4 linked regions of the Diceros bicornis minor genome follow. The protein of the gene in region 4 purifies or fractionates together with the protein of the main gene of each other region. This does not show direct contact. Links are inferred from orthologs where the notes say so. Each region holds a gene or a part of one and is shown on either strand. Other genes may lie near its edges.

The links.
Region 1: the proteins of MAPK7 (region 4) and VBP1 purify together in Homo sapiens (affinity purification with mass spectrometry; 3 studies listed by BioGRID and IntAct, with this or other methods). This does not show direct contact. The link is inferred for Diceros bicornis minor from reciprocal best matches to the Homo sapiens genes MAPK7 and VBP1.
Region 2: the proteins of MAPK7 (region 4) and PFDN1 purify together in Homo sapiens (affinity purification with mass spectrometry; 3 studies listed by BioGRID and IntAct, with this or other methods). This does not show direct contact. The link is inferred for Diceros bicornis minor from reciprocal best matches to the Homo sapiens genes MAPK7 and PFDN1.
Region 3: the proteins of MAPK7 (region 4) and PFDN2 purify together in Homo sapiens (affinity purification with mass spectrometry; 3 studies listed by BioGRID and IntAct, with this or other methods). This does not show direct contact. The link is inferred for Diceros bicornis minor from reciprocal best matches to the Homo sapiens genes MAPK7 and PFDN2.

What each region holds. Positions count from the first base shown.
Region 1 is NC_080781.1:138,789,861-138,797,013, reverse strand, and holds the start of VBP1 (prefoldin subunit 3), read left to right. Parts: upstream 1-4,151; 5' UTR 4,152-4,167; coding exon 4,168-4,260; intron 4,261-7,153. UniProt on the Homo sapiens protein: Binds specifically to cytosolic chaperonin (c-CPN) and transfers target proteins to it. Binds to nascent polypeptide chain and promotes folding in an environment in which there are many competing pathways for nonnative proteins.
Region 2 is NC_080740.1:58,601,489-58,608,997, reverse strand, and holds the start of PFDN1 (prefoldin subunit 1), read left to right. Parts: upstream 1-4,501; 5' UTR 4,502-4,546; coding exon 4,547-4,579; intron 4,580-7,509. UniProt on the Homo sapiens protein: Binds specifically to cytosolic chaperonin (c-CPN) and transfers target proteins to it. Binds to nascent polypeptide chain and promotes folding in an environment in which there are many competing pathways for nonnative proteins.
Region 3 is NC_080743.1:67,691,576-67,698,918, reverse strand, and holds the start of PFDN2 (prefoldin subunit 2), read left to right. Parts: upstream 1-4,330; 5' UTR 4,331-4,359; coding exon 4,360-4,434; intron 4,435-7,343. Other genes in the region: DEDD (death effector domain-containing protein), read left to right, coding at 1-222; NIT1 (deaminated glutathione amidase), read right to left, coding at 1,603-1,869, 2,145-2,270, 2,438-2,571, 2,797-2,900, 3,010-3,254. UniProt on the Homo sapiens protein: Binds specifically to cytosolic chaperonin (c-CPN) and transfers target proteins to it. Binds to nascent polypeptide chain and promotes folding in an environment in which there are many competing pathways for nonnative proteins.
Region 4 is NC_080757.1:2,122,567-2,130,329, forward strand, and holds the start of MAPK7 (mitogen-activated protein kinase 7), read left to right. Parts: upstream 1-4,756; 5' UTR 4,757-5,314; coding exon 5,315-5,546; intron 5,547-6,206; coding exon 6,207-6,372; intron 6,373-6,378; exon of another isoform or gene 6,379-6,916; intron 6,917-7,013; coding exon 7,014-7,763. UniProt on the Homo sapiens protein: Plays a role in various cellular processes such as proliferation, differentiation and cell survival. The upstream activator of MAPK7 is the MAPK kinase MAP2K5.

The sequences.
Region 1 (7,153 bases), on a different chromosome or scaffold from region 4:
CAGTTTTCCTAACTTGCCCCCTTTCCTCTATCCTGTACTGCTCCGTGTCCCACATTTCCATTCCTGCTCATTGTCCTCTGGCCTTGCCCCCTCTTTTAATTATGTCATTCTTCTTCCCTTCTCTGCTCTTTAATCCTTTTCCCTGGCGCTTGCTCCATGCTCATCCTGCTCTGCTCTACCCTCTGTCCACTGTCCTTTCCCTGCCCCCATCCCCATCCCCCTCCCTCAGCTCTCAGATAGGCCTGCTTTCTTCCTACTGCTTTCCCCACAGAGTAGTTTTATTTTGAAATTTATTAGTTTTTGTGAGGTTGAACACATTTTCACATGTTTACAAGAAATTCTTACGTCTTTTTGTTTGTTAATTGTCTTTTGCCCATTTTTCAGTATGACATTTAGTCTATTTCTTTGGTACAATTTCGCTAATATTTTTTCCCAGCTTCTTAACAGTTTGAATTTGTTCTGGTGTCATTTTTGTAAGAGTTATGTTGTTGTTTTTTATAAATAGGCAAATGTATCAGCCTTTTCTTTTATTGTCCCTGGATAAGTCATAGAATGTCTTTCCTTACACCACAATTAAAGGGGGAATTACCCCATATTTTCTTCTCGTACTTATATGATTTACTTTTTTTACATTTATTTTCCTAATCCATTTGGAATTTATTCTTGTATATAGTTTGTGATATTAATCTAATTTTATTTTTTCCCTGTGAGGGATCATAATTGGCCACCTCAAAAGGTGTCTCATTGGCTTGATTATTTTTAAGAAGAAGATTCTGAAAGAAACTTTGACCTTCCCCCTAACTGCCTAAAAGAATTTAAGATAGAAGGCCTGTTCCAGGAAGGAGCTAATACCATAAGATAACATTGTCTATAGCTGGCCCAGCAAACACTTCTTTACCAAACATTTGCTTTTCCATCTCCATGTGAATTGCCTTCCTCCCCTTTGAAGCCCCAAGCCACTACCCCCAACATCCTCCTTTGTCTTTAGCTGAAAATGGTATTTAAGGGCGGCTTTGGCCATTCTGGTGAGTTACTCAGCTTTCCTGAGTTTCTCCCATGTATACATGTTATAAAGCTCTGATTTTCTCCTGTTATTCTGTCTCATGTCAATTTAATTCTTAGGCCAGCCAGAAAGACCTAGAGGATAGAGGAATTGTCTTCCTCCCCTACATCGCAAATGGCTACCCAGCTGTTACAACACTGTTTATTAAAAAGTACATCTTTGCCTCAGTGATTTGAGATGCCACCCTTGTCATTTACTAAATTTCCCTGTGTACTTGTCTGTTTCTGGACATTCTTTATTCCACAAGTCTGTCTTTCTTCATGCAAAAATGAACACTGGACTTGGAACTGAATTATTTGGGTTTTTTCTGCTCTACCCCAAGACTTTCTGTGAGATTTTAGGCACATTCTTTTCTCTTTCTAGGACTCAGTTTCATCATCTGTAACATGAGAGGCTCCAACTAGATTATTTCTATTTCTATGACTGTCTGTACTAATTAGTACTAATCTAGATTGCCTTATACTATTAGGAGCTAGAGAGTTCCTGCTGCAGCCTGCCTTCCTGGAACTTGAGGCATGGAGTTCTGGCTTCCCAAGCCTGACCCCTTCTTTGACTCAGTGTTGGGGTGACTTTGGGTTCTTGGTTCTCTAGTCCAGGATCTTTTTGCATGTAGCTTCATTTCTTTGGCCTTGAGAGGCTTTTCTTTGACCCTGAAGGGGAGGAAGACTATCCTTTACCCACTCTGGGTCCTTTCTGGCTGAGGTATGAATTAAATTGACATGAGACAGAATAACAGGAGAAAATCAAACAAAGCTTTATAATATGCATACACGAGAGAAAGCCAGGAAAGACTGGGTAACTCGACAAAATGGCTGAGGTTCTCCTCTTAAATACCCTCTTCAGCTAAAGATAAAAGAGGATGTTGGGGGAGTCAGTTATGGGAGATTACCAGAAAAGCACAGTAAACAAGAGTAATGTTATTATGCAGATTTAAGGCCTTGCCTTCCCCATTGATAAGTTTCTACAGATGAAGTCATCCCCCTTTCTTCCCAGTACAGAGAGGGAGATACCTTTACAAATGGAGATTTCCCTTACAAACATAAATGTTTGGTAAACAGAACTTTGATAAGAATGGGCTTAGCAAGGACCGTCCCAGTCTATCCATACCCAGAGTTATCTATAGGGATGGCCTGTCCTGGGGATAGGCCTTCTATCTTAAATCCTTTAAGGCAGTTGGGGGCGGGGTTCAAAGTTTCTTTCAGAGTCTTCTGAGCCTTGATTGTCTTCAGTTTGAAATAATCCACATACCAGAGTGGCACATCTTGGGGCAGCCTGCCCTGAACCCCATCAACCTCTTTCTGATTCTGCTGGCACCCTACCATGACAAGGTCACTTTATATATGTGCTCATAATGACCAGACAGGAAGGATGTTGGGATTGTCAACAAAAATAATCCATAACCAATCTATAAATCAAAATTGGGGTGAGTTTATTATGAGCCAGATCTGAGGACCATATAGCCCCAGAGAGTCCTTCCACAAAGGAATGGGTCACTCCAAATGCATCACATATGATTGGAATGTCCCTTTTACAACGGTCACGAGATTGCTTTGCTGGCACTGCAATTCGATGAACACAGCAGGTCAGTGGTCTGGAGGTGGGTGGTCATAGCAGGTCAGCAATCAATCCCTAGTTTAGGGAAAGATGCTTGTCCTTAAGGAAATGCTGATGTGGAGGAAGTTATATCCTTATCTTTAAGGGCATTGTTGTTGTCTTTGGGACATAGTAAATACTTAAAGCAGATATACAATGCATGCTCAACGGCTGTGTCAGGCCCTTTTGGAAAAAAACAAGTTCAGGCTGAATTAGTTTTATACCAAATGGCTTCCTCATATACTCCAATATCCTATTGCTTGTTATTTCTTTATCAGGATGTTGGGTGAAACAAGATAATCCAAATAAAATTCTTTGGTTGCCCTATTGTGTGGCAATCTTTACAACAGCCTTGTTGGTACACATTGTTATTCTCATTTTAAAATATGACTTAGGTAGTGTCTTCACCTGTGCTCCCTTCCTACCCGATGTGACTATTATAACATTTATCCTATTATCTTACAAATGGTTCATTTTTAAGGCCCTTTACTTGTATGTAAACTAGGAATGATAGCAGTCCCTCTCACACTGAGCTGTGGGGATTAAATAACATGACTCAGTGACTGGTACATAGTTGGTTTCTAATAAATGTTAATCACTGTGTGTGTCCCCACTAGGTAAGGGAACTGACATTTATCCTTTATTCATAAAGGGCTTGGCTCATGGTAGGCTTTGTGTGTGCGGATGAAGCACAGCTTCACTAGGAATCACTGCAGAGCAAGCAAAGGCAAGAATAAACATGGTGGTTAGATGTCAGAAAAGACACCAAAGAATAATTACTTGGGTATGTATAATGCACTTGCTCTCAAAGAGTTGTAGTGATGGGCAATGCTGGGGAAGTCCTTAGGACTAGAAGCCTCAGAAGAGTCCTTAGGATTTTATGTAGACTTAAGTTTTGAAAATGTTTGAGCTGGAGTGGCGAGATTCTGATCAAAGGATGCTTTCAAGAAAGGCTGGTGCAATGGGCGGGGTATTTATTAGAATCAGGCCAGTGACTCCAGAAACAGCCACAAAACAAGCCCCCTTCAAGGGCCAGGAAGCTCGTTGGGATGTTGGGACCAGAAAGGCACTGAAGCCAAAGCCCCATGGTGCCGTCTAGTTCCCAGGTTCGCTTGTATTCGAGAGGTGATCGAGTCACTTCAAAGGCCATTCTGGAGGGTGCTGCCTGTTTTGGGGTGGGAGTGGGGTCCGACTTGGTCCCCAATTCCCAGGGTCTCCACCCCTGCCTACCCACAACATCCCCGAGACCGTTTTTCGCAGGAGTCTGTATTGGTCCTTCCCCCGGAACCAGCTTCTCCTCCGCGGCTCTTCCACGCCTGTCACTCACCTGCGCGCAGCCAGTCAGCACCCACAGGCTGAGTCCGAGGGAGAAGGGGCGGCTACTTCCTGCGCGCCAATGAACGCGCAGACTCACAAGGGAGGGGAGGGCTTGCTGGTGTGAGCGAGCCAATCACGGACCCCCGGCGGCTGGCGGCTGGCGGAGCAGTTAGTCGCACGCTTGTTTCTCCAAGATGGCGGCCGCTAAGGACAGTTGTGGCTTAGGTGAAGTGCCCGCAGGGAACGGGCGGCGGCTCCACCTAGGGATTCCGGAGGCCGTGTTTGTGGTAAGAGCACGCTGGTCCTGGGCATCTTGATGCTAGGCCGTGGGCTACCCCTTCCTTGCCGGTCCCCACCCTGGCCTCGACTGTTGGGGAAAGGAGTTGAGCTAAAGGACCTGGGAAGAGAGTGCCCCGTCCGCTCTCCCTCCACGCCTGGACGGACTGAGCTGTGCTGGGTTCTGCCCGGGGGTGAACCGTGGTCCGAGAAGGCCCGAGAAGGGAAGGGGGCGCGGGGCGAGAGGACGCGGGAGCCGGGCCGGGGGCGGGGGCGGTCCCTGAGACCGACCCGCCCTCCCGCTCCCGGACGCAGGGTTTCGTCCCCTGCTGCCTGGAAAAAGGGAAGCGGTGAGAAGCTCGAGACTCAGCTTAAGTGCTGGAGAGACTGACAGATAAACGGTGACTTAGGATACCATGAGTAGGCAGAATAACTGCTGGTAAGGTGTGAAAACAGGAAATGACACCTAGTCTGTTGAAGGAATGCGGTGGTCTGTTGCCTTAGAGGAATGGAATAAGAGACTGATGGAAAAGTGGGATAGGGTGAAAATGTGAAGTCCTTGTGTGTTCTGCTGAGGAATTGAGGGTTTATCCAGTAGGCAACGGGATGTCGTTAGAAGGTGTCTAAATAAAGCCGTGATATAATCATATTTGGTTTTAGGTACATCATTCTAACAACTTAGTAGAGAATGAATCGTGTCGAGTTGAGACAAGAGGCAGGGAATGCAGTTTGGAGGCTTCACAGAACAGGGAGACCAACCCAAGTCCAAAGAGAAGCAAGTAGATGCTTTCAACCCTGTCTTTCCATCAGGCTAATCTAGAAATAGTATTTGAAAACTGTTTGAATAATGACAGAAAACCTGACTGGCCTTCCAAGCCGGTATCATCTGTCTTTCCCCACTCAGTTCTGGCTGAGTTACTATAAAATCTTAATGGAATTTTCTCGACCTTTTGGTTTGTACTTTTGTTGTGTTATCTCTACCTTTTTGTTAATGGTGTCTTACATCCTTCAAAAGACCCATTTGTTTTATTGATTCTTTTATTTATACCACTTTTATATACACTCTATATTGTATATTTGCATTTGCCGATTCAGTTTTGTAGTTATTTTCTTTAGTTATTTTGCGTTTTCTCCCTGAGCTGTGCCATTTATTTCTTTACGTTCATCTCCCAACTAAGTGTAACGAGAGAGAAAATTTGTTGAGTGCCAGGCACTTTCCTAATGCTTTTACAAAACTCCAGGAGGTAGATACTGTTGTCATTCCCGTTTTGTAGATGATGAAACTGAGGCACAGAACCCTTGAGTAACTTGCCCCGAGTCACACAGGGTGTAAGTGAGTTATCCAGGATTTGAACTTGGGCAACCTATGGGGCTCTGGAGCCTGTACTTACACATCGTGCTCTGCTACTGGGAGGAAAGTGAGGTAGTTACCTTGCTCAGTGTCATTTCTCCTGGTCCTCGCACAGTGCTGACACATAGTATAAGCTTGTAACTGGATGTCAAATTGAATTTCCATAGTGGCTTAAATACTACATTCATGGTGCTTAGCTGGAGATGGCTTCAAAAATCTAATTCAGGAGGATAAACTTTATGAGGGCTTTATAAAGTCTTATCTTAAAATGTTAATGGGTTATTTTTTCTAGACCTTAAAATTTCTACCAATATGATATAATAAGCAATCCAAATTTTACATAATTATTTTTATGTTCCCAAACTAATGGGAATAGTATGGTATTGTAGAAAGAACATTGGCATCTAAATAGACCAGGGTTTGAATTCTGCCTCTACTTCCCAATTGCTGCTTAATCTTGAGCATATTATTTTACCACTTTGAGCCTCCGTTTCTTTAACTGAAAGAGGAATAACAATACTTACAGAGTTGCCATGAGAAATGGAGAATGTGCTTTCAGTATTGCAAGTAGATGCTTAATATATATTAGTTTCTGTGATGATAGGAGGCGGTATACCATACTGGTTAGAAGTCAGACCTCACGCTTTCCCCTTCCCCCATTCCCAGTGGTGCAGTAATTTGCTTTTTTTCCCCCTTGTCCATTTACTGACCTCTTCATGTTTAGAACTTCATATCTAGTTCAGATATGACTTCCCTGTAGTTTTTCCTGACCACTGCTGCAAGACGGAATTCTTGGTACTTTCATCTGTTCCCTTAGCACATTGTGTTATAGAGATAGCTAATGTTTGTTGAGCATTTCCTAGCTGTCATGCACTCTTCTAAGCATTTTACACATGCTAACTCATTTAATCCCCTGTGAGGAAAGGTACTTTTTTTTGATTTTACAGATGAGGAAATTGAGGAAAAGAGAGATTAAATCACTTACCCAAGGTCAACACCTCTAGTATGTGGTGAAGCCAGAATTCAAACCAAGCAGCCCCTGTCTCTTAACCACAGTCCTATGCTGCTATAATTACTTCTCCATGTTAGACTCTAAGCTCCTAATAACAGGTACCATGTGCTAGAAACTTTGACTTATTTCTCTTTCCTGCAGTGGCCCTTCTAGGAAGATGGTATCTCCATTTTACATGCAGAGCTCAGCCCTTGCCTCAGCCTCACCTTTTCAGTTTCTTTTACTGTGTCTCTAGCTTGATGGCTTCATAGTTCACTCCCTTGCTGTGTTTCTCTTCCTTTTTCTCCTTGCTTTGCTTAAGCTAAAATATTCCCTCATAGCTAGTAAGTGTGGAGAAGAATAATGACCTAGAGATCCCATAAACCATAAGATAATTGAATTTAACTTACTTACAATGAAGGACTAAAGTTCTTTACAGTACTAGAAGGCTCTTATAGAATCTCCTTAAAGTTTCCATGTATTTTCATCTAGTTCTTGATCCTCATCTAATTAACTAGCTTTTCTTCAAGGACCAACATATAGTATACATTTTAAAAATGCT
Region 2 (7,509 bases), on a different chromosome or scaffold from region 4:
TATTTCTTTTCTAGCCCAATTGTTCTGGCTAGAACTTCTAGTACTATATGGAGTAGAAGTGAGAAAAGTGGGCATCTTTGCCTTTTTCCTGATCTTAGTGAAAAACTTTCAGTCTTTCACCATTGAGTATAATGTTCACTATGGGTTTTTCATATATGGCTTTTATTATGTTAAAGTAGTTTCTTTCTATTCCTAGTTTGTTGAGTGTTTTTATCATGAAAGGGTCAAATAGAATTTCAGGAATTAAAGACAATAATTATTGAAATAAAAACCCAAGGTGTGGTTTAAACAGGAAATTAGACATAGTTGAAGAAAGAATTAGTAAATTGGTGGAAAGAATTGAATAAATTACACAAGATTCAGGAAATAGATAGTAAGTGTAAAATAGAGGCTAAGAAATATGGATGCTTCACATTTCTAATGGGAGTTCTAGTAGGAGTCATGAGAGAAAATGGCAGAGAGTCAACATTCTGTGAGATACTGGTTGAATATTTTTCAGAATTAACATGAATTCTCAGATTAAAGAAGCATATTATGTCTCAAGCAGGAAAAATAAAGAAAACACACACACACACACACACACACACACACACACACCAAAGTGGAAAGGTAGAACGCAAAACACAGTGAATGTCTTAAAACACACCGGAGAAAAGACAGATGATTTCTAACAAAATCACGAAAAGCAGCCTGACAGGACTTTTTATCAGTATATAAAAGCCAGAAGACTATGGAAAAATGTCTTTAATAATTGTCAGTCTATAATTCTATGCACAGCTAATCTGTCATTTAAAATTAAGAGTGAAATTAAGACAATTTTATGTATACAAAGTGTATTAGTTTCATAGGGCTGCCATAACAGAGTACCACAAACTGGGTGGCTTAGAACAACAGAAATTTATTTCTCACAGTTTTGGAAGCTAGAAGACCAAAATAAAGGTGTTGACAGTGCTATCTCTGAAACCTATAGGGGAAGGATCCTTTTCTTGCCTCTTCCAGCTTCTGATAGCCTGAAGCATAACTACAATCTTCACATGGCATTCTCCTATGTCTCTTCAAATAGTCCTTCTTCTGTGCATATCTATGTCTGTGTCTAAATTTCCCCTTTTTATAAGGACACAAGTCATATTGTGCTATGGTCTGAATGTGTTGAAATCCTTACCCACAAAGATGATGGCATTAGGAGGTAGGGCCTTTGGGAGATGCTTAAGTCATGAGAACAAAGCCCTCACAACTGGGATTAGTGTTCTTATAAAAGAGACCCCACAGAGATCCCTTGCCCTTTCCACCAAGGGAGGACACAGTGAGAGGTCAGCAGTCTGCAACCGAGAATATGGCCCTCACCCAAGCATGCTGGCACCCTGATCCTAGACTCCAGTCTTCAGAACTGTGAGAAATAAATGTTTGTTGTTTATAAACCACCCAGTCTGTGGTACAGATCTTCCTCGATTTATGATGGGGTTACGTCCTGATAAACCCATCAAAAATTAAAAATATTGTAAGTTGAAAATGCGTTGGGGCTGGCCCGGTGGCTTAGTGGTTAAGTGCGCGCGCTCTGCTACTGGCGGCCCGGGGTTCAGATCCCGGGCGCACACCGACACACCGCTTCTCTGGCCATGCTGAGGCCGCGTCCCACATACAGCAACTAGAAGGATGGGCAACTATGACATACAACTATCTACTGGGGCTTTGGGGAAAAAAAAAAGGAGGAGGGTTGGCAATAGATGTTAGCTCAGAGCCGGTCTTCCTCAGCAAAAAGAGGAGGATTAACATGGATGTTAGCTCAGGGCTGATCTTCCTCACACACACATACACACACACAAAAGAAAATCATTGAACACACTTTATCTATCAAGCATCATAGCTTACCCTAGCCTACCTTTATTATTATTACTTTTTTGATGAGGAAGATCAGCTCTGCGCTAACATCCATGCCAATCCTCCTCTTTTTGCTGAGGAAGACTGGCCCTGGGCTAACATCTGTGCCCATCTTCCTCCACTTTATATGGGACACCACCACAGCATGGCCTGACAAGCGGTGCATTGGTGCATGCCCGGATCTGAACCCGGGCCGCCAGCAGCAGAGTGCATGCACTTAACTGCTATGCCACAGGGCTGGCCCCTATCCTAGCCTACATTAAACATGTTCAGAACACTTACATTAACTTACACTTGGACAAAATCATGTAACACAAGGCATTGAATATCTCATGTATTTTACTGACTACTGTACAGAAAGTGAAAAACAGAATGGTTATAAGTGTATCAGTGGTTTACCTTCATGATCGCGTGGCTGACTGGGAGCTGCGGCTCACTGCCACTGCCCAGGATCATCAGAGAGTATTGTACTGCATATCGCTAACCCAGAAAAGATCAAAATTCAAAATTCGAAGTATAAGTTGTCAGAAGTTGAGGACCGTCTGTATTTTGTTATAGCAGTCTGAAGAACTAAGACATGTTGGATTAGGGCCCACCCTAATGACTTCATTTTAACTTGATTACCTCTTGTAACGACTCGATTTCCAGATACATGACATTTAGAGGTACCCGGGTAGGATATACATCTTTTTTTGTGGGGACACAACTCAACTGACAACACGAAGACTAAGAGAGTTTACTTCTCAAAGACTCTTTCTGAAAGAATCTACTGAAGGATTTACTTCATCAAGAAGGAAATTAAACTCAGGAGGAAGGAGTGGTATGCAAAAAGGAACAATGATCAAAAAAACTGAGAGAAGATTCTTGCCTAAGGTCACATTGCTCTTAAATAGTGCGGTCAGTACTTGAACCCAAGTTGTCTGACACCTTAGCCCAGGCTCTTAACTTTTACATTGCACATATCTCTATGAGGAATGTTTCAAAATCTCATAAGGTAATGTATAGGAAAGTATCTGAGACCTGCTTTGAATTTTAATATTCAGTCATTATTTATTGATCATCTCTAATGAAGTTCTAAGACAATCCCAGAGTAGAATTAGGCCCTTTTTTTATTTCCCAAATTAGAGAGTGATGACAAATTTTCTTCTGAAGAAGAATTCATTCTCAACAAGTGTTTATTTTGTATCCCTTCCCTGTGATGCACTGTGATAAGTGTTCTGGGTATAAGTGGTGGGGGAACCACTATCCCACAGATCTTGATTTTAAGGAGCTTACAGTCTAATAAAATTTTTTTTTAAAGGTAGAAAGTGTCATGTGCTTTGAGAGAGGAACAGATGTAGTCTTGAGGAGAGTTCAGAGGAGGGATTATTTTTGGTCTCCTCCATTGGGCTGCACCTTGAAAGACAAACATGACAATGCTAACTACGTCAGCTTAACTACAACTATTTATTGAGTACCTACTGTGTGCATGGTGCTATGCTTGGAGCTTTTCATCTTGATCTTATTTAATCCTCACAATAACTTTGTTAGGTCAGTATTGTTACTCTCAAATTAAATAAGGAGATATACTGTATTGCCACACAATTAGCCAATGGAACCAGACAGACCTAGGCTCAAGGTAGACCAAATCTTAAATTCAGATCTTGCTGGTTCCAAATTCCCTGCCCTTTCTCTTTCCTCACAAGTTTTTAGAGTAGGTAAAACATCCATTTCTTTCATTTCCAAAGTCCAATACTATCCATCCTTCTGGTTCAAATGCCGGGTCTTTTACAGAAGATTCTCAAAATGGGGTCTGCAGACAACTTGCATCAGGTCATAAAGGGAGTTTGCAAAACTACAAAATTTCCAGGCCCCAATCTGAAAGATTCTAAATTAAGTTTGGGATAAAGACCAGAGAATCTGTATTTTTTTCCACAAACTTATTTGGCCTCTTTTCAGAACCACGTGTCTAGAAAGTCTTCCAGGAGCGTTCAGTACAAATAAGTTCTTTGGAAGAACACTTCAGGGGCCCGCCTGGTGGTATAGTGGTTAAGTTCATGCACTTTGCTTCAGTGGTACAGGGTTCGCAGGTTCGGAACCCAGGTGCGGACCTATGCACTGCTCATCAAGCCACGCTATGGCGGCATCCCATATACAACATAGAGGAAGATGGGCAACAGATGTTAGCTCAGGGCCAATCTCCCTCACCAAAAAAAAAAAAAAAAAAAACACACGCACAAAAAACACTTCAACGAAGCCTTCTGGTCTTCATATTGGCATGCTTGAGGCTCAGGCTGATTCTTCCTCTTCCTGACAACACAGGAACTAGCTTGAAGGACCGAATGACTGAAGAGGTTTTGGCCGGATCCACATACATCCCAATTTAGCAGCACAAACTAAGCTATTTGTCAAAATGCTTAAAACCATACGCGAAATCTGCGCATTGTGCTCTGTCTGGAAGGATGTGGCGAAGCAAGCCAGGTCTGATCGCTCACGTGGGGAAAACAGACTCTGAATCGGAATCCCCAAGTTTCAAGGGATGCTAGCCCCAGAGCCAGGAGGAAACTCAATTAGCCCAACTCATGCGCAGGCGCAGAAGGAAAGAGGACTATCAAACCGCCAAGGCGCGCCCTTCCCGCTTCCTCTTTCTGGCCTTCTCCCACCGCGCAGGCGCAGAGAGTGAACCAAGATGGCTGCCCCCGTGGATCTGGAGTTGAAGAAGGTAAAGGAGGGTATTGAGCAGGCAGTGGCTTCTCTTTGGAAGCTAAGGGGAGTGTGAACAAGAATATCGAGTGAGGCTCGAGTCCTGCGGAAGGAAAGAGGCCTCAGGGAATTGGGGAATGATTTCCCAGAGTCCTAAGGCGGGACCGGGTCTCCTTAGGCTGGAGTGGTGGGCGAGCGTCTCTAGCTGGATAAGAGCCGGTTGGGCTTGGTCTGGTTAAGTCAGGCGGGCCGTTGGCTGGCCTGTCCCCTCGTTCCGAGCTCCAGAGCCGTTTCGTTGCGCTCAGAGCCATCAGTTGCATCGTAAGGCCTGAAGTGAGCGTTTCAAATTGGAGCCCTTTCGGACGAGCCGAGGCATCTGTAATTCTGCATCCCCATCTGCTTTGAAAAACTCCCTGTTCCAACCTTGTGTTTTTTAGTCCACTTATTTGATTCCATCTTGAAAGGTCGTAGTATATACATACATTTCCGCGTCAGATATTCTCATAGCAATGTTCATCTGAGGGCTTTGTCTTCCACCCCCTTCCCCCTTTTTTTGAAGAACTTGTAAACTACAGAAACAAGTCCAGTAAAGTTTTCCAAATAAAATCGATGTCTGAAGGAATTGGGTTTCTCTCTTCAAACAATTGCTTATTAACGTGTTGTTACTTAAAAACGTTTTTGCCATCTGCGAGTTGTCAGGATTTTAACACCACTGCCAACCCAAAACGATATCCTTTTTTGGGGACGCTGGGACACAGGGATTGGAAAGGATGCTAGACTTCATCTACTTTAAACCTATACTTTTCTAGAAGAGGAAACTGAGTACCAGAAAAAATTCAGGCACAGGCTGAGAGTAGAATCCAGCATTCTCTGCTTTACTTCACACCTTTGACCATTAGTTTAGGTTTTTCAGAAAAGCAGATTTTACTAAAGACTGCCTTCTGGTCAACCTTTGCATAGCTCTTGCTCCTAATAAATGAAGCCGTTTGTACGTATGTGTGTGTGTCTTGCTTTTTGTCATTCCTGTTTGGAAACTTGTAAATTTAGCCCTTACCTGGTGGTCTCTAATGCAGTAGTATCTCAGCTTTAACAATATACTAGCTTCCTTAGCAAACTATGTACAGAACAATCAGGTAATACCTATAATTTTACATGCAAAACAAAATTCATTTTAAGAATGCTTGAAGCATTCTAAAAGTTTAACTTTTTTTTTTCTGTTAAAAATTCAAATTTAAGTCAGGGTTTAGTGAAAGAGCTAATAGAGTACAGCTGTGAATGGACTTGCCTCCCAGTATTATTTGGATTTGATGCTAAGAAACCTGTGGACAAAATGCATACTAAGAAAATGATTACAGACTTAAATTGGATAGTTTTGACAACCAATTAAATTAACCATAAGAGAAACTTGTGGGGCTGGCCCAGTGACATAGTGGTTAAGTTTAGGCACTCTCTGCTTCAGTGGACCACGGCCCCCGGTTCATGGGTTTGTATCCCTGGCAAACCTACACACCACTCATCAGGCCATGCTGTGGTGGCGTCCCACATACGAAATAGAGGAAGATTGGCACAGATATTAGCTCAGGGACAATCTTCCTCACCAAAAAAAAAAAAAAAAAAAGGAAACTTGTTGTTTAAAGGTTTTATCTTCTAATATCTTTATAAGGTCTCTTTTTGGAGGGGGTGGAGACTAATAGGAAATTTCAGGTACCTCCTCTCTCCTCAAATAAATCTTTTTAAACTTTACTATTAGGTGAGACCAAAGTCAGAATAAAACATAAGTAGTAGACTTTGCCATGTATTGCAGTCACTAATGTTATTAGTAAGGCATAAATTTGACAGCAGGTGAAAGTTATTCCAGGCACTTCAACAAAAATATCCAAGATCTGTGTTTATCTTTGAGTTAAGTGTACACAAGGGTCAAATTTGGCTTGGTATGTGCATGTGAAGATCATGATAAAGTCTACCAATGCTTTGAAATTTTTTTCTCTTTTTTTTTCTTTCTCTTAAAAATATTCATATTCTGAATATTACTGTAGACAGTAGAATAGAAAGATTTCTGAACTAGGGGTCAGAAGAAATGAATTTAAGTACTGTAGCTGCCTTTCCACCTAATAGTTATTAAGCCTGTGCAAGCCATTTATACCTCTTTAACACATTTAGTTACTTAATTTGTAAACTATGATGATGAAACTGCCATCCCTGACTCGTAACATCATTGAGAAGAGTAAATGAGATTTTTTTATTATATCCCTCAGTGCTCTCATATTAATATTCCAATGTTAATATTTCAAACAAATGTGGGAAAGTGCTATGAAACCTAGTTGTATAATGCAAATGTAGCAAGTTGTTACACTTATGATTCTTGTTTTCAGTCTCTGGGTTTCATCCTCTGACTGTTGCATTTATTGCTTTTATTATTCCTTGGGTACCTGCTACTTGATATGGTTATTATTTAATGTGCATTTGTTCTGCTTCTTCAAATAGATTGCTTCTTCTGAGGACAGGGTAAATTCAGTATTTAGCATAGTGGCTTGATCCTTTACAATTATATTGACTTTTGTTGGTGTTTGCTTTGGTAAATTTCACAGCTTTGTCTCTAGTTAGCATGCTTTATTTTTTTATTTATTTATGTTTTTGTGAGGAAGATCAGCCTTGAGCTAACATCCATGCCAATCCTCCTCTTTTTGCTGAGGAAGACTGGCTCTGAGCTAACATCTATTGCCAATCTTCCTCCTTTGTTCCCCCAAAGCCCCAGTAGATAGTTGTATGTCATAGTTGCACATCCTTCTAGTTGCTGTATGTGGGACGCCGCCTCAGCATGGCCAGACAAGCGGTGCGTTGGTGCGCAACCGGGATCCAAACCCTGGCTGCCAGTAGCGGAGCGCGCGCACTTAACCGCTAAGCCACGGGGCCCTCCCCTGCATGCTTTATTTTAATATATTTGAATTT
Region 3 (7,343 bases), on a different chromosome or scaffold from region 4:
TGTGATATCAAGTTCTCTGAGCTCACCTACCTCGATGCATTCTGGCGCGACTACATCAATGGCTCATTACTAGAGGCACTTAAAGGTGTCTTTATCACAGACTCCCTCAAGCAGGCTGTGGGCCATGAAGCCATTAAGCTGCTGGTGAATGTGGATGAGGAGGACTATGAGCTGGGCCGACAGAAACTCCTGAGGAACTTGATGCTGCAAGCATTGCCCTGACCTTTTCCCCTTTCTCACTTCTCTGGGGGACTGTTCCCACCACCCACCTCTGGAGCTTACATACTGTTCTGGGGTTTGTTCTCTACCCTTCCAACCAATCACACCCCTGCCTTTTTTTTTTTTTTTTAAAGGAAAAGACAAAGGAAAATGGAAGTGGTGTTCCCCACCCCTCCCTGCACCCATGTGCCTGGGCTTCCCCTTTGTTCCCCTTTTCCACTTATCCCCCTAATGTATGTCTCTACAGCCACCTTGCCACTGAGCCGTAAGACAAATGTATAGAGAGAAGCAAAGTCTATGGAACATAGTCTTTGTAAGGGATTGAAGTGAACACTGCTTTTGGGTGCATTGAGGGGTTATCAGTACTTCTGGCTTTATGGGGGCTCTTAAATTTTGTCTGAAAAACCAAAGGGCTGTGAGTAAGGGAGCTATGTGGAAGGTGGGACTCTGAAGTGTATTTTGGAAATTAATCACCACCCTCTCCCAAATTATAGAATTTTTAAAAAACAAAGAAGCTGTGGCCCTTTCCACTCTCTCCTGGCCTCTGGTGCTGCTCCTCTCTGCCTTGTTTCCTCCATTCCATGGCTTGAAACCTCTGCCTGGTGTGGTTCCTTTTCTTCCTTTGTCAAACCCTCTTCAAGGGAGTAATAGGTAAGAGGACTAGGTCAGCCTAGTCGCCTCTCCCAACTGTGGTGTGTGTGTGTACACACATACACAGGGTGGATGGAGAAGTTGTTGCTAATTAAAATACACTCCCCCTAAAAAGGGGAAGGGGGAGTGTGACACTTTCCTTCCATGTTCAAGTGAAAATAAATAATGTACCCTGCAGCCCTTTTCCCCTTTGCTTTCTTATGACTTGGGCAAAGGGCATCATAGGTGAAAGTGAAGTAATTCAATATCAACTCCTTTCTTCTTTTTCCTTCCCCATCCTCTACCCCCAATCCCACTCCCAAGCTTGGGAGCATGGGGCTGGGACATGCACTGAGTGTTGCACTTTTATTTAGGTGGGGAGGCATGTTGAGTGAGCCAGGAAGCCTAGAACTGGAGCCCAGTCCAGCTGGTACAATACCACCTCCCTTTCAGCTCCCAGAGGAGATGTCCAGACACAGACTTTATGATTATATTTTTTTCAATGCCAGTGCTGCTCAGCCCTCAGCGTAACTTCAGTTTTCATGAAATAAACAGTGACTACATAAAATTCCACTTTTCTGAAACTGAAATCTGAGCTCAGGTGCAAGTTTCTTCTTTCCCAAGAAGCTGAGCCTGTGTTCCATCAAGAGAGTCAAGGTTCCCCAAGTGAGGGGAGCTGTGCCTGGGTCCTGCCTACAAGTCACAGCAACACCAGCTCACAATGGGGGTCTCAACTCACAGAAGTCAAAAGTCTTAAGACCGTGGGTGACCCAGATTGCCATAGAGGTCAGGCCTGCGATGCTGGAATACAGGCAGGTGTTGGCGCAACTGTCGCAGATAATTGAGGTCAATTCGGGCAAGGCAGAGGCCTTGTCCCTCAGAGCAGCGGGCCACCACTGTTCCCCAGGGATCCACCACCATGCTCTGGCCATAACTTGATCTCTTCTCATGGTGGCGTCCACACTGTGCTGCTGCCACTACATAGCACTGGGTTTCAATGGCACGTGCCCGCAGCAACACCTGGGGATGAGGAGATGTGTGTTCGCGTAAGTAGACACAGGTGCTAGTGGGGAAGTGATAAGCAATGGACATTACAGGCCAATATACCCATCGGGGCCATTCTGATAATTGTTTAGGAATGATTTATTTATTCTTTAACATAAGTTAGGCAACGATCTGGGGAATGAATTTTCTCACTAGCTGGGAAGGGGAAGAAAGTCTTTCAACTGGTAGGGCCAAGGGAGAAGAATGAGGTCAAGAGAAGGCCCTTATATTTTGAAGAGGTGTCCTCTTACCTCCCAGTGGGCTGGGCCTGTTACAGATCCAAAAGCTGAAGGGTAGGTAAGTATTTCTGCTCCAGCCTGAGCCAATGCCAGAGACAGTTCAGGGAACCGCATGTCATAGCAGATAGCTAGACCAACCTGGAAAGAAAACGAGCCTAGTTAGCCCCCCTGTCCTGTGTGTCACAGCATCTAGTTATACCCCTGCTACCCATTCCTTAGGGCTTTCTATCCTCTACTACCAGGTCAAAGTATTCCTAATTCCCCTCCCTCTTGTTTGCCCACCCTTATCCTTTCACAACTCCCACCTTGCCTGCTGGTGTGCTGACAGGTGACTCAAGACTGGGCCCAGGCAGGGTAGAATTGCTTTCACGCATAGGTCCCTGCCCTGGAATCTCTACGTCACACAGATGTGTCTTCCTGTAAGTGGCCACTACTGACCCTAGAATAAGAGAGAGAAGGAATACTCAGTGCTGGTGCTTTAGAAGCTCAGCTTAGTTCTTCTCCTCCCAAGGAGGAGACAGTTTATAGGTATGAACAGAAGTACAAACACCCTGAAACCCTAGGCCGAGGAAATAGAGTTGAGAAACAAAACAGAATTCTGGAGAATCTTAGTTTAGGTAGAAGAGCCTGCGAAGAGGCAGGCTAAAGAGTTATGAAGTCTCACCCTTGCTGTTCAGAAGCACATGACAATTGTAGATTTTCTGAGTCTGCTCCCAGTCTTGGCCACGCTCATGGAAACCACCCAAGGACAGCCAGAGTCCACATTCCCTGGGAGGAAGGGACACTGACAACTCTTCTCAAGGCTCTACTCATATCTGGCAATCCAGGGACACTGCCCAACAAAGAAACTACCTCTCCCTCCCCCTTTCCCTGATACCTGGCAAGCTGGGTATATTCTCCCAAAAGGTTCCCATCCAGTGGCTCAGACAGGCGTAGCGTCTCTGCAGGATCTCGTGCAATGAAGTCAAATGCCTCAGGCAGAAAAGCCAGGCAAGAGCCCAGTCTGGCAGCCTCTCGAACTAGCTCAGCACAAGTTTTAAAGTTCTGCTGTTTGTCAGGTGTCGATGTTACCTGGCACACAGCCACAAGGGGCAGTTCACAGGAGGAGGAGGAGATAGCCATGGCTCTGGGTCTGTGGATGGCACAGGCAGGACTCACTTCCCAGCATGGGGAAATCCAAGTTTGATGATGAAGGGATCAAATGGGGAGGAAGGAAGGCTGAACTGCCCTTTGATTCTGTTCTCACAAGGCACAATGACCCACCAATCAAATGTTCTGTGGATGGCTGGTAGCCCAGTGTTTCCCACCATCCATTCATTTAACAAACACTTATTGAGCACCTGCGATGCGCCAGGCATTGAGGACACAACAAAACACGGTTACCTGGGCTGAGCACAAAGTACTGAGAGTCGAGGTAGCCGGAGTCCAGGACACAAAAGAAGGGACAGGAGCTGGTGAGGAGGCCTGATGATGAAGCCCAGCCTGAGGAAGATGAGAAATCAGGAAACCAACCCGTCCCTCAAGCGATAAATCTCTCGGATTTTCTGACTTCTCTCTTCATACTGTGAGGCTAAATCAGGGCTCTGCCAGGAAAAACTCCCGTCTTCAAAACACTCTTTACTATAAATAATTATGGGCTACAGGAAGAGATCATAAAGTGGGAAGATGGAGAAAAGGGCTCTGCTCGGCACCTGAATACCTCGACTTCTAGTGATCTCACATTAACCTGAAGCCCTTGTCCTCTGCCAAACTTTTCTGCAGTTCAAAAGTCACCCCCGAGAAATTTCCTTGGTTTTCTCAGCCTCTCTCCTTGACTGTGCACCTGCACAGCCTTACTGACTCAAAGCATATTTTCCCCATTACACCACAATCTCTGAGTGGAAGTTCACCCTCCCTGGTTCCCCACCACCCCGTGGTAGGCAAGGGGCACCGGCACCCGAATCCCAACCCGCGCCCCCACTCTCCAGTTGGCCCGTCCTTCCCCGCCTCCCTCAGGGGTAGCGTCTCTGCTGCACAAGTTAAAGCACCACAGGTGGAATTCACCGCGGCCAGCGGGCTAGGAAGCAGGTCCTACATGAAGGTACTGCCAAAACCATTCGCAGGATCCGAACCGAAAAGCGGCCTGGAAGCAGAGGCGCCGGGGGCGAGTGGGCGGTAACTCCGAGACCGGACGTGACGCAAGGCGGGGGCTGAGCTGCGCACGCCGGGAAGCCAGCAGGCGGCGAAGATGGCGGAGAGCAGCGGTCGCGCCGGCAAGAGCAGCGGGAGTGGCGCGGGGAAGGGGGCGGTGTCGGCAGAGCAGGTGAGGCGCGGAGAACGCGGAGGGGGCCAACGCGGCTGGGCGTGGAGTCGATGCGAGAAGAGCGGGGAGCCTGAGGCTGGTGCAGGCCCACATTTGCGTGGCCGCCGAGAGAGGGGAGGGTACTTGGAGAAGCTAGCCGAACCCCCGGGGAGAGAGTGGGCGGGTTGGTGGGTGAAAGCCACGCCCCCCTTGGGGTGTTGGTGAGCCTGGGGGAGGGGAAAGCCCTGAGATGCAGGGTCTGGGAGGATGCACAGGTCTGAGGGGAGATAGTCGTCACTTTCCCCACCTCTCCGCACCCTCAGACGGGGTGTGTATGGCAGGGCAAGACAGCTGGTAACGGATCTCAGGGTATTAGTCAACGGGCTGGTTGTGTAGTTTGTTACGTGACCCTGAAACCACGTTGACAGTCGCCGTCACTCTGCAGAGCCACGTGCGTGACTCACATACTCGATAAGTCTAGTGTTCCATACTATTTTAATTTGGGAGTCATTGTTAGATTGAATTTCTTTAGAGACCAGAAACCGTTTTTAATCCGAGTTTGCATTTCCCCCAGTGCCTGACATCGAGAAACGTTTGATAAATTAATTAGAAAGCCCTTTGAGGCTTGGGAAACCATGGTTTGCTGATAGTGGGGCTAGTGTTTAATAGAGGTAAGAAACCTACATAATATAAAGAAAAACGCAGTTAAACAACAGCTCTTTAAATTATAGTTTTATTTATCAGTTATTTGTTGAACAATTACTACAGGCGAGGGTATCTGCATAAAGATTTTTCAAACTGACCTATGCAGTCAAAGAGCTCATAGTCTGGTGGGAAAATAAGACATACAAAATGCTAATATGAGGCAGAAGATAAATTTTATCTTTAATAAAATTTATATTATAAAATTTATAAATTAAATATGAGGTATAAAGTGCTATGGGGTTTTGGGGAGGGGGGAAAGAGAGAGTTTCTGGCTTAAGGGAAAAAAGGGAAGTGAGAGGGAACCTAATACCCTTTTTGAGGGTCTGCCATGTGCCAGGAGCTCTGGTGGGTACAGGGAAACAGATAAATGAAATAGACTTTGTTTTCAAGTTAGCTCCAGACTCATTTGAGAAAAGACAAACGAAACAATAAGATGTACAGGGTTACACAAAGGCCCTTCTTTATGGCAGCTAGAGGAGGGACCTCTAACTAAGCAGGAGGTTATGGGATTTGAGGCATGGGTGGAGAAGGCAAGCTGTGGTATAGTGGGGTGGCCAAGAGTGTCAGAAGTGCACTGGGGTCAGTGGGGTGGGTCAAACCTGTGTTTGAATCACATTTCTCCTGCTTACTGTCTATAGATGACCTCCCATGAGTTAATTCTCTCCACCTTCCCCTCCTATAAAAACATAATGGTACCTACCTCATCACTGCGTTTGATTATTAGGCAAGACAATGCATGCAGTGTTTTGCACAGTGACTGTAATATACTGTGTATTTAATAAGTGCTAGTTATTTTGTTTTCTAGAGGAAATAATCCTTCAGCTCAATTCTAAAGGATGAGAGAAGTTAGTGAAGCAAAGAAGGAAGTGAAGGATTTTCTAGCTAGAGAGAATAATGTGTTTAAGAGCACTAAGGCATGAAACTGCCTGACATGTTTGGGGTGCAGGTGGAGTTAAAGTTTAGGATGGACTACCAGACTTGAATGTGGAGAAAAAGGGATAAAAGAGGATGTGTCTCAAGTTTTTGTCTTTGATGGATGCTGGTGCCATAGGGAATGTAGGAAGATGGACCAGTTTGGGGGGAAAATAAGTTCATTTTAGGATTTTGAGTTTGGGTTTCTTGTGGGACATCCTGGTAGAGACATTTAGAAGGCGGTTTGATTTATAAATCTTGAATTACAGAAAGAAATCTGAGTTGGAGATTCAGATTAGAGAACTATGAGTTTATGAATGGTAGATGAAACCATGATTGTTGATGAAGTCATCGGGGATTTGTACAGAAAGTGAAAAAAGAAGCAGAACAAGGGTGGAACCAATAGTTAAGGGGTTAAAGAAAGAGAGCCCTCAGAAGGGACTGAGGAGTTGTGATAATTGAGTTCTGAGGCTGTTCCTTGCTTAACATTCTCTTGCCTTTGTGCTTGTGTTCCAGAGAGAACACTGGGTAAAAAATAGAAGATTTATCACTGCTGCAAGTTTGATCCACATATGTCCCTTATAAACAAGATGGAAGCAAGTAACACATTGTGCTAGGCACTTCACTTGTTTTATCTTCTGTTATTTAATTACAGCCATTCGAAGTAGGTTGTATTGTCCTCCCTTTATAGATAAGGACATTTGAGTTTCAGGGGCTTCAGTGAATTTACCCAAAGTCAGTAACTGGAAGTGCAGGGCTTTTAATTGAGGGACTTGAGAAGCAGACCTATTTTTTCCGTCTATACTATGATCATATTAGAGATATTTGGGCTGAACCTGAAGGATTGGATAGATTTGAACAGGCGGTACTGGAAATAGAATGTAGGGACAGAGTAGGAAGAGGAGAGCTAGGGAAAGCTTAACTTGACACAAAGTGCAGTGACTGCTAAATTTGTTTAGCTAAATCATGAGGTGTAAGTCAGAAAGATGTGGCCATTAAGGCAAGCTGAGTCTTTGCATGGCAGAGAATTTAGGACTTTTTAATGTAAGCAGTGAGGGAGTCACAGAACGATATATATTATACTATTGACTTTTTTTCCCTGTTACATAAAATAATACATGTTCATTGTAGAAAATGTAAAAACACAGGAAAAAGTACAAAATAAGAAATAAATTACCCATGATGGTACTAGTAGTATCCAGAGATAACTGTTCTTACCATTTTGGAGTATATCCTTTGAGAGGTTTTTCCTCCCTCCTTTATGTTTTTGTATATGTGTGTGTAGATGGAAAGAGAAGGCATGTGTATTTTAT
Region 4 (7,763 bases):
AGATGTTAGCCCAGGGCCAGTCTTCCTCAGCAAAAAAAAAAAAAAAAAGCGAGAAGGATTGGTGGATGTTAGCTCAGGGCTGATCTTCCCCACAAAATAAATAAATAAATGAAAAATAAATAAATGGATATAATTAAAAAAAAAAAGAAATTGTGATGAGCTTGATAACACTTCCCAGAGAGGTGAGGCAATAAGCCTTTTTGAGATAAAGGAACTGGGTGGACTCTGAACTGCCTCTAGAGCTGCTTTTCCAGTCTTACAAGGATTTTTTAAGGACAATTGCTCTTAATTTCTCAGAAATTGGGTTGTAACTGAAAAGACATTATAGGTTGATCTACCTGTCCAACTACATCATAAAGGCACAGAGAAGCCACTCAAGTTGTCCCCAAGATGGAGTTTCTGGGGGATATCTGCCTCGTCAGTTTTTAATATCCCATTATCTACAAGCATTTATGGCTTAACTATGGACATAAGGCATCCCCAAAAGAGAGTGCAAAAGGAGTAGCCCTCACAAGCTCCAGAAAGTTCACTCCCGAAAAACAGCCTAAGAAAGCAAAGGCCTTCGCTGCACAGGCGGTAGTGCACCAACAAACAACAAAGATTGAGACAACAAAGGTCCCTGATGGACTGAGACCCCTCATGAGCAAAGAGGTCACAAAGCCAAGTTCTCAAGACATAGAACAAAACAAAAAGAGGAACAAAATCTCATCTTATATGCACATTAACAGCTTTAGCTATGCTTTGGGTCTCTTGGAGCCAGACTAATACCTGGGGGGAGGTAGCACGGGGTTGGGGACTGTGTGTGCTTTACAGAGTGCTTCGTCATTGCACGGACATTTTCTTGAAGTTGGTGGGGGACCTGCGTCATCTACCCCATTCCGTGACCAACTTATCCTTCCACGGGAGACTTCTGGAGGGGGCGAGCACCCTAATGGCTCTTAACTGCTGGGCCCGTGCCCACCAACATTGCGGCTCTTTTGGCTTCCAAGACGCCCTGTTAGCAACAGCTTCCACCTATGGGCGTACTCCACAGGCGGGCCCTGCGGCAGAGCTACTGCCGGCCACCCAGAAAGCAGGCTTGTGGAGCTGCCTGCATCTTGCTCTAAGGGTTTTCCTTTATGACAAATGACACAAAAAACAGAAACAAGGGAAAACAGTGACCGTCTCTGGGAGGAGAAGGATCAATAAACCAATGAATATTCAGTAGCTCCTACTGCTTACTTGTAGCTGAAAGTCTCCCAATTCAGGAGAATGCAGCCTAAGGCGTTTCAGGTGGGGATCGAATTAGGGTCTCCCATTGTTTGAGAATTTAGACACGACTGGTCAAAAGTATATTTATGTGGGGCCGGCCCAGTGGCTTAGCGGTTAAGTGCGTACGCTCCGCTACTGGCGGCCTGGGTTGGGATCCCGGGCAGAGCACCAACACTTCGCTTCTCCAGCCATGCTAAGGCCGTGTCCCACATACAGCAACTAGAAGGATGTGCAACTGACATACAACTATCTACTGGGGCTTTGGGGGGAAAAAGGGAAAAAAAAAAAAGGAGGAGGATTGGCAATAGATGTTAGCTTAGGGCCAGTCTTCCTCAGCAAAAAGAGGAGGATTGGCATGGATGTTAGCTCAGGGCTGATCTTCCTTAAAAAAAAACAAAAAGTATATTTATGCTGCAGCTAGAATCAGATTGCGAAAATTTAAACCATCCCTAAAATCAAGACCCTTAAGGGCCGGCCCCGTGGCTTAGCGGTTAAGTGCGCGCGCTCCGATGCAGGCTGCCCGGGTTCGGGTCCGGGTGCGCACAGACACACTGCTTCTCCGGCCATGCTGAGGCCGCGTCCCAGATACAGCAACTAGAAGAATGTGCAACTATGACATACAACTATCGCCTGGGGCTTTAGGGGAAAAATAAATAAATAAGACCCTTAAATGAAGGCCCAGCCAAGGCTTTCTTCAAATAGCCAATGTAATTCCCCTGAGGCTGATGGCAGTTTGGTAGGACTCAGCCACAAACGGGAGCGCAATCCGCATTTCTGTCAGACTATCTCTAACCGCAAAATGAGGTGCACCCTATTTCGTCCGACTGTATTTTGGGATCCTCCCGCAACCTGACAGTTATCAAGCCAAGCCCTCAGGACACAAAACAAGCTTGGCAAGATTCTGCTGTTCACTGTAAACATTTACACCTTTTGGAAACTTTTGGTCAAAAGGTGCAGTCCTTGACTCTTTAAAGATTAAAGATTTTTCCTTGTTCCTTGGTTTGGAGGCTCAAACAGAGCCCAAAGTGGCCACTGTAATTTTAAACTATCCCGGGTCATCTTGCCAGCTTTTTGCAGTTATCTCCCTTTTAGGGGGCGCTTTTATCAAGGTGGCCGCAACAAACAAGGTCTGATAGTGAGCTAGTGGGAGCAGCTCCCCCAAGAATAATCAAGGGTTGGCTCTTTCCCTTATGTGTCCCTGCACCCACCAAGTTCAGGTGATTTAAGCCCCGGATGAGCTGCTGCTGTCGATTGCCTCACCACGAACAATGAAGGCCCAGTAAGACACGTTCTTCAGGAGGCATCCCTATGAGGCCATTGCACGTCATGGGCAGACAGCCTGACACCTCGGTAAAGTCCCCAGTCACCTGGGAACGTGCTGAAGGACCAGAGAGAACAGTGCCTCTTTTCTTCAGAGTCAGAAGACTCTCATAAGATTAGTCTAAAAGGCAGTTTGTTGCAGTCACCGAGAAAATCAGTCCCCAAGCAGCCAATTTCAACAAATAACACAGTCAAAGGTAGACAAACATGAACAGATACAGAAATCCAATCTCTGGGACCCTACCCCAGAGTTCGGGACTGTAACCCGATCCTTTTGAGTGCCTCAGCGGCTGTAACCTTTATATTGTCTCCCACAATCCTAGCCTTGGGTTTTAACCCAGTAGCCAAATCTCACCAGTACGGCCTCTAACCCACAATCCTGACAAGATATTAGACGATTTTAGGCACAGGCGCATTTAAACAAAGTCACTCACCCAAATCCAAAAGACGTCTGATCCTGGAGCTCTTTACAGACATAGACAGACACAGACATAGACACCAATGAAACGGGTTCCTAGAATCTGGGTGAAGTCCTATTCCTCTTCCCACTCCGGTAGGGCACCCTATTAACCAGATGGTCCTCCTTCTCAAAGAGGAGACCCCAGATGGAGGAGAAGGAAAGTTCTCAGTGGTGGACCCCCAAGGTGACTTACCCTACTCCAGATGAGAGCCTGTTGACCCACCAGATGTAGCCATTTCTCTTCCTACCACATCAGCGTTAGGAGGCAGCCGGCGTCGGCACGGGAGAGCAGGTAGGGCAGATCCCTGAGACAAAGAGAGCCTCGGCAGCCCCTAGGGACTTACCTGACAAGCTGCCCATCCAAGGTCGGCTAGCCACGAGCAGGACTTAACGTCCCATCTGGGTCGCCAAATTGTTACAGCCCAGCGTGGGGCCTTCTGCTCGCCGCAAGACATGCCGGTAGTCAAGAGGCAAGGTGGTAGGAGAAACAGGACTTTTTTATTACAGCTTGCTAGCAAGGCTAGCAAGAGGGAAGATGGCCGACTCATGTCCCAAAGAACCATCTTAAGGGGGCATGAAATCTTACAGCAGTTATATAGGCCATTGGGTTATAGGGGAGGGGGCTAGGAATGTTGACCTTCTGGTGTTACAGACCGGGAGTGCCACATGAGATCTTTCAGTTTTCACTGATGATGGCTATCAGCATAGATTCCCTGTTCGGGGGTTATCACATTCCTAAGGAACTCAAAAGAGCAAAGTTATCATCTTATTGCAGCTGGGAGGTACATGCACAAGCAGGGGTCGTAAAATCTACAGAGCAGTTAGATCTGCTGGAGGGTGCATATCCAGCTGGGTTAGTTTGTCAGAGGTCATTCGAAGTTACAGTAGAGTTTTTCTTTTCTACAATATGGCTTCCCTTATGTCAACCTTATCTTGAGCCGGTATCACTTCCACTGCCCACCATGTCCCCTCTGCCTCCCGGGCACTGAGCCCTGCAGCCACGGCGCTGGATCAATATTTGCTACATGAATGAATGAACCACGGGGCTCCGGAGCAGGTGAGGGCACCCGGCTTCCTGTGCGGGCTCTGCTGACCCGAGGGGCCTGGGCCCGCTGCCCCTTCTGTTCCCCCGCAGCCCACCCCGCGGGGGCCGTGTGACAGCGACACCGTGCGGAGACGACACGCCAGAAGCTGTGCAGGGAGGACTCGCCACCGGAAGTCAGTGGAGGCTTCAGACCGGACGCTCTAGAATCCCGGAGGACCGGGATCTCTGTGGTGGGACGTGATGGATCACCCTCTACTTGGGATGATGCATTCTCCGAGCCGGGCTCCCTGGCCGATCAGGAAAATGGGGGAAGTGACACAATCCCCTGGGCGATGGGGACTGACAAGGGAGGAGGGGCCTAAAGAAGGGGGATTTCGTGAGCCGGCCGCCAGGTAACAGTCCCAAGCGTCTCAACTTCTCCGAGCTCCGGTAACCAGCTACGACGACCTGGTTGTAGGAGGAGATGGAGCCGATAGATGGGGATGCGCGTGCGCGCGCACGTACGGCGGCGTTGCCTTCCGTTCACGCGGCGCCCGGGGCTGCCAGCGCGCATGCGTCAAAGGGGCGGCGCAGGGCTGGGAGCGCAGCCCTGCGAAGCGCGGAGCGCCCTTTGGGCGGCTCCCGCTGGCGAGCGGGACAGCGGCGCGCGCGCGCGCGCGCGCGGAGGGGCGTGGCTTCCTCTGCCGGCAGGCTCGGATTGGACGCAGCAAGTAGAAAGGGTGGGAACCTCGTCAGAGGCCGCCCAGCGATTGGCCAGAGGCTGGAGAGAGCGTGGTCTTGGGAGGCGGGGCGGGGCACCGGCGGTGCAGGGCGAGACGCCGAGGTGGTGGCGGTGGCCTTGAATAAGTGAGCGAGCGGCTCTTGGAGTCCCTCTTCAGTGGGGCGGGAGGCCGGGGAGCCCCGGGAGCCCCCGAGAGCACCGAGGAGGCGTCAAGGGGAGGCGCCTTTCGGTGAGTGCGGCCGAGAGAAGCAAGCGCCCCGCCCCTCCCTCTCTTCCTGGACCGCGCCTCGCGGCGCCTCCCCCCGCCGACCCTGCGTTCCGCCCGGAGCTGAGCTCGGGCGCCGGGTACCGCGGTGGGGCGTCTCATACGGGCCAGCCGCTGTCTTTCGCCCCCTCCCCGGCTCCGGTTGGCTCAGGGAACTCGGAAATCTCTTGGTCCTGCTCCCCAGCCTCACCGAGGGGAAACGGAGGCCCGGGGGGGTGGGCCCCTCCTCTCCCGCGTCTCCACACAGAGGCCATGGCCGAGCCCCTGAAGGAGGAAGACGGCGAGGACGGCTCCGGGGAGCCCCCCGGGCCGGTAAAGGCGGAGCCCGCCACCACCGCTGCCTCGGTAGCGGCCAAGAACTTGGCCCTGCTCAAAGCCCGCTCCTTCGACGTGACCTTTGACGTGGGCGACGAGTATGAGATCATCGAGACCATCGGCAACGGTGCCTACGGGGTGGTGTCCTCTGCGCGCCGCCGCCTCACCGGTGAGCTCCCGCCGGGCGCCGCCCACCGATGGGAGCCCGGGCCCGCGAGGGGGAGAAGCCTGCCCCGGACAGCAAGGAGAGCGGGGTGTAGATCCTGGTCCGAGTCAGCAGAGCCGGTCCGGTGCCGTCCGGGGGCCAGGCGCTGGTGGGCATAGGCTCTGGAGCTCTGGAATGGTGGTGGTGCCAGCCCGTCAGCCTACTTCCTCAGCAGATGACGATCCCGGTTAGACCAGGATGGACATCTCGTCCTTGGTTGCCAAAAGGGAAATGCGTTCTGGAGCCGGAGACGGGCGAGGGCTTGGTGGTGGGAAGGGTGAGGCCTGAGATGGAGAGGGAGTGGGCAGGTAGGAGGAGCACAGGCATTAGCAGCTAGGCTGCTGCTGACTAGCTGTGCAGCCCCCAACAGGTTACTGAGCCAAGGTGTCCTTAACTCTAACTCTGAGCTGTTAGTAGCTGCCTGGGGGAAGAGATGTGAGAGAAAGTCTGATGGTTTATGTAAAGTGCTTAGCACAAGGCTTGGCACGTAGTAGATGCTCAGTATAGAGTAGCTGTTGTTATTTGCATCCTGGAAGGGGTTATTTGCGTACTGAAAGGGGCCTTGTGCCACGCTGCACCTACCCCAACATACTAGATGGTATCTGCCTTTTCCCTACTCCCCAGGCCAGCAGGTGGCCATTAAGAAGATCCCTAATGCTTTTGACGTGGTGACCAATGCCAAGCGGACCCTCAGGGAGCTGAAGATTCTCAAACACTTCAAGCACGACAACATCATTGCCATCAAGGACATCCTGAGGCCCACCGTGCCCTATGGGGAGTTCAAGTCTGTGTAAGGAGCAAGGATGGGCGAGGGAGGCAAAACTGGGTCCTTTTCTGAAGGCTGGGCCATATTGCTGAAGTTCTGGAAGGGCAGCTGAACCTGATATGCGGCAGGCTGGGAAAATTCCCACAGTTCCAGGACCAGTGCACTCTTAGGGCTTTGCCAGGGACAACTGTGATTCCTCAAGAAGAGTACAGACAATTTTATAGAATCTCAGTATATAGGATAGTAAACGTGGGACATTCGTACTATAACTGCACCCTCCTACTCCCATAGCAGATTCACTAATCAATCACAGAACACTTTCCTGCAGAAAACGGACAAGCCGTCACTGTTTTCATCATAGTCTTTCAAGCAGGCACTACCAAACAGTGGAGATGACCCCCAAACTAAACCTATTTGGCCAGCCCTGGTTTAATCCAACCCCGTCTTTTCTCTGATGGGGAAACTAGGTCTGGAGAGAAAAGCGATTTAACTTCACTTAAGCTCGTGGAAAAGTTGTAGAGATTCTAGAATCTTCATACCATGCCATTGGGCCTTACAGAGTCCAAGGGTAAGGCCATTACATGTTTGAAGCCGGGAGGGTGTGGTGAGGATGGGGCTGGAGTGTGGGTGAGACATCCCATGCCTGTCTCCCCTGCCCCTTCCAGCTATGTGGTCTTGGACCTGATGGAGAGTGACCTGCACCAGATCATCCACTCCTCGCAGCCGCTCACGCTGGAGCACGTACGCTACTTCCTGTACCAGCTGCTGCGGGGCCTCAAGTACATGCACTCAGCTCAGGTCATCCACCGCGACCTCAAGCCCTCCAACCTATTGGTGAATGAGAACTGCGAGCTCAAGATTGGTGACTTTGGCATGGCCCGCGGCCTGTGCACCTCGCCTGCTGAGCACCAGTACTTCATGACTGAGTATGTGGCTACGCGCTGGTACCGTGCCCCTGAGCTCATGCTTTCACTGCACGAGTACACGCAGGCTATTGACCTGTGGTCTGTGGGCTGCATCTTTGGTGAAATGCTGGCCCGACGCCAGCTCTTCCCAGGCAAAAACTACGTGCACCAGCTGCAGCTGATCATGATGGTGCTGGGTACCCCCTCGCCGGCTGTGATTCAGGCTGTGGGGGCTGAGAGGGTGCGGGCCTATATCCAGAGCCTGCCGCCACGCCAGCCTGTGCCCTGGGAGACAGTGTATCCAGGGGCTGACCGCCAGGCCCTCTCACTGCTGGGGCGCATGCTGCGTTTCGAGCCCAGTGCCCGCATCTCCGCAGCTGCCGCCCTTCGCCACCCCTTCCTGGCCAAGTATCATGACCCTGATGATGAGCCTGACTGTGCCCCACCCTTTGACTTTGCCTTTGACCGTGAAGCCCTCACCCGGGAGCGCATTAAGGAGGCCATCGTGGC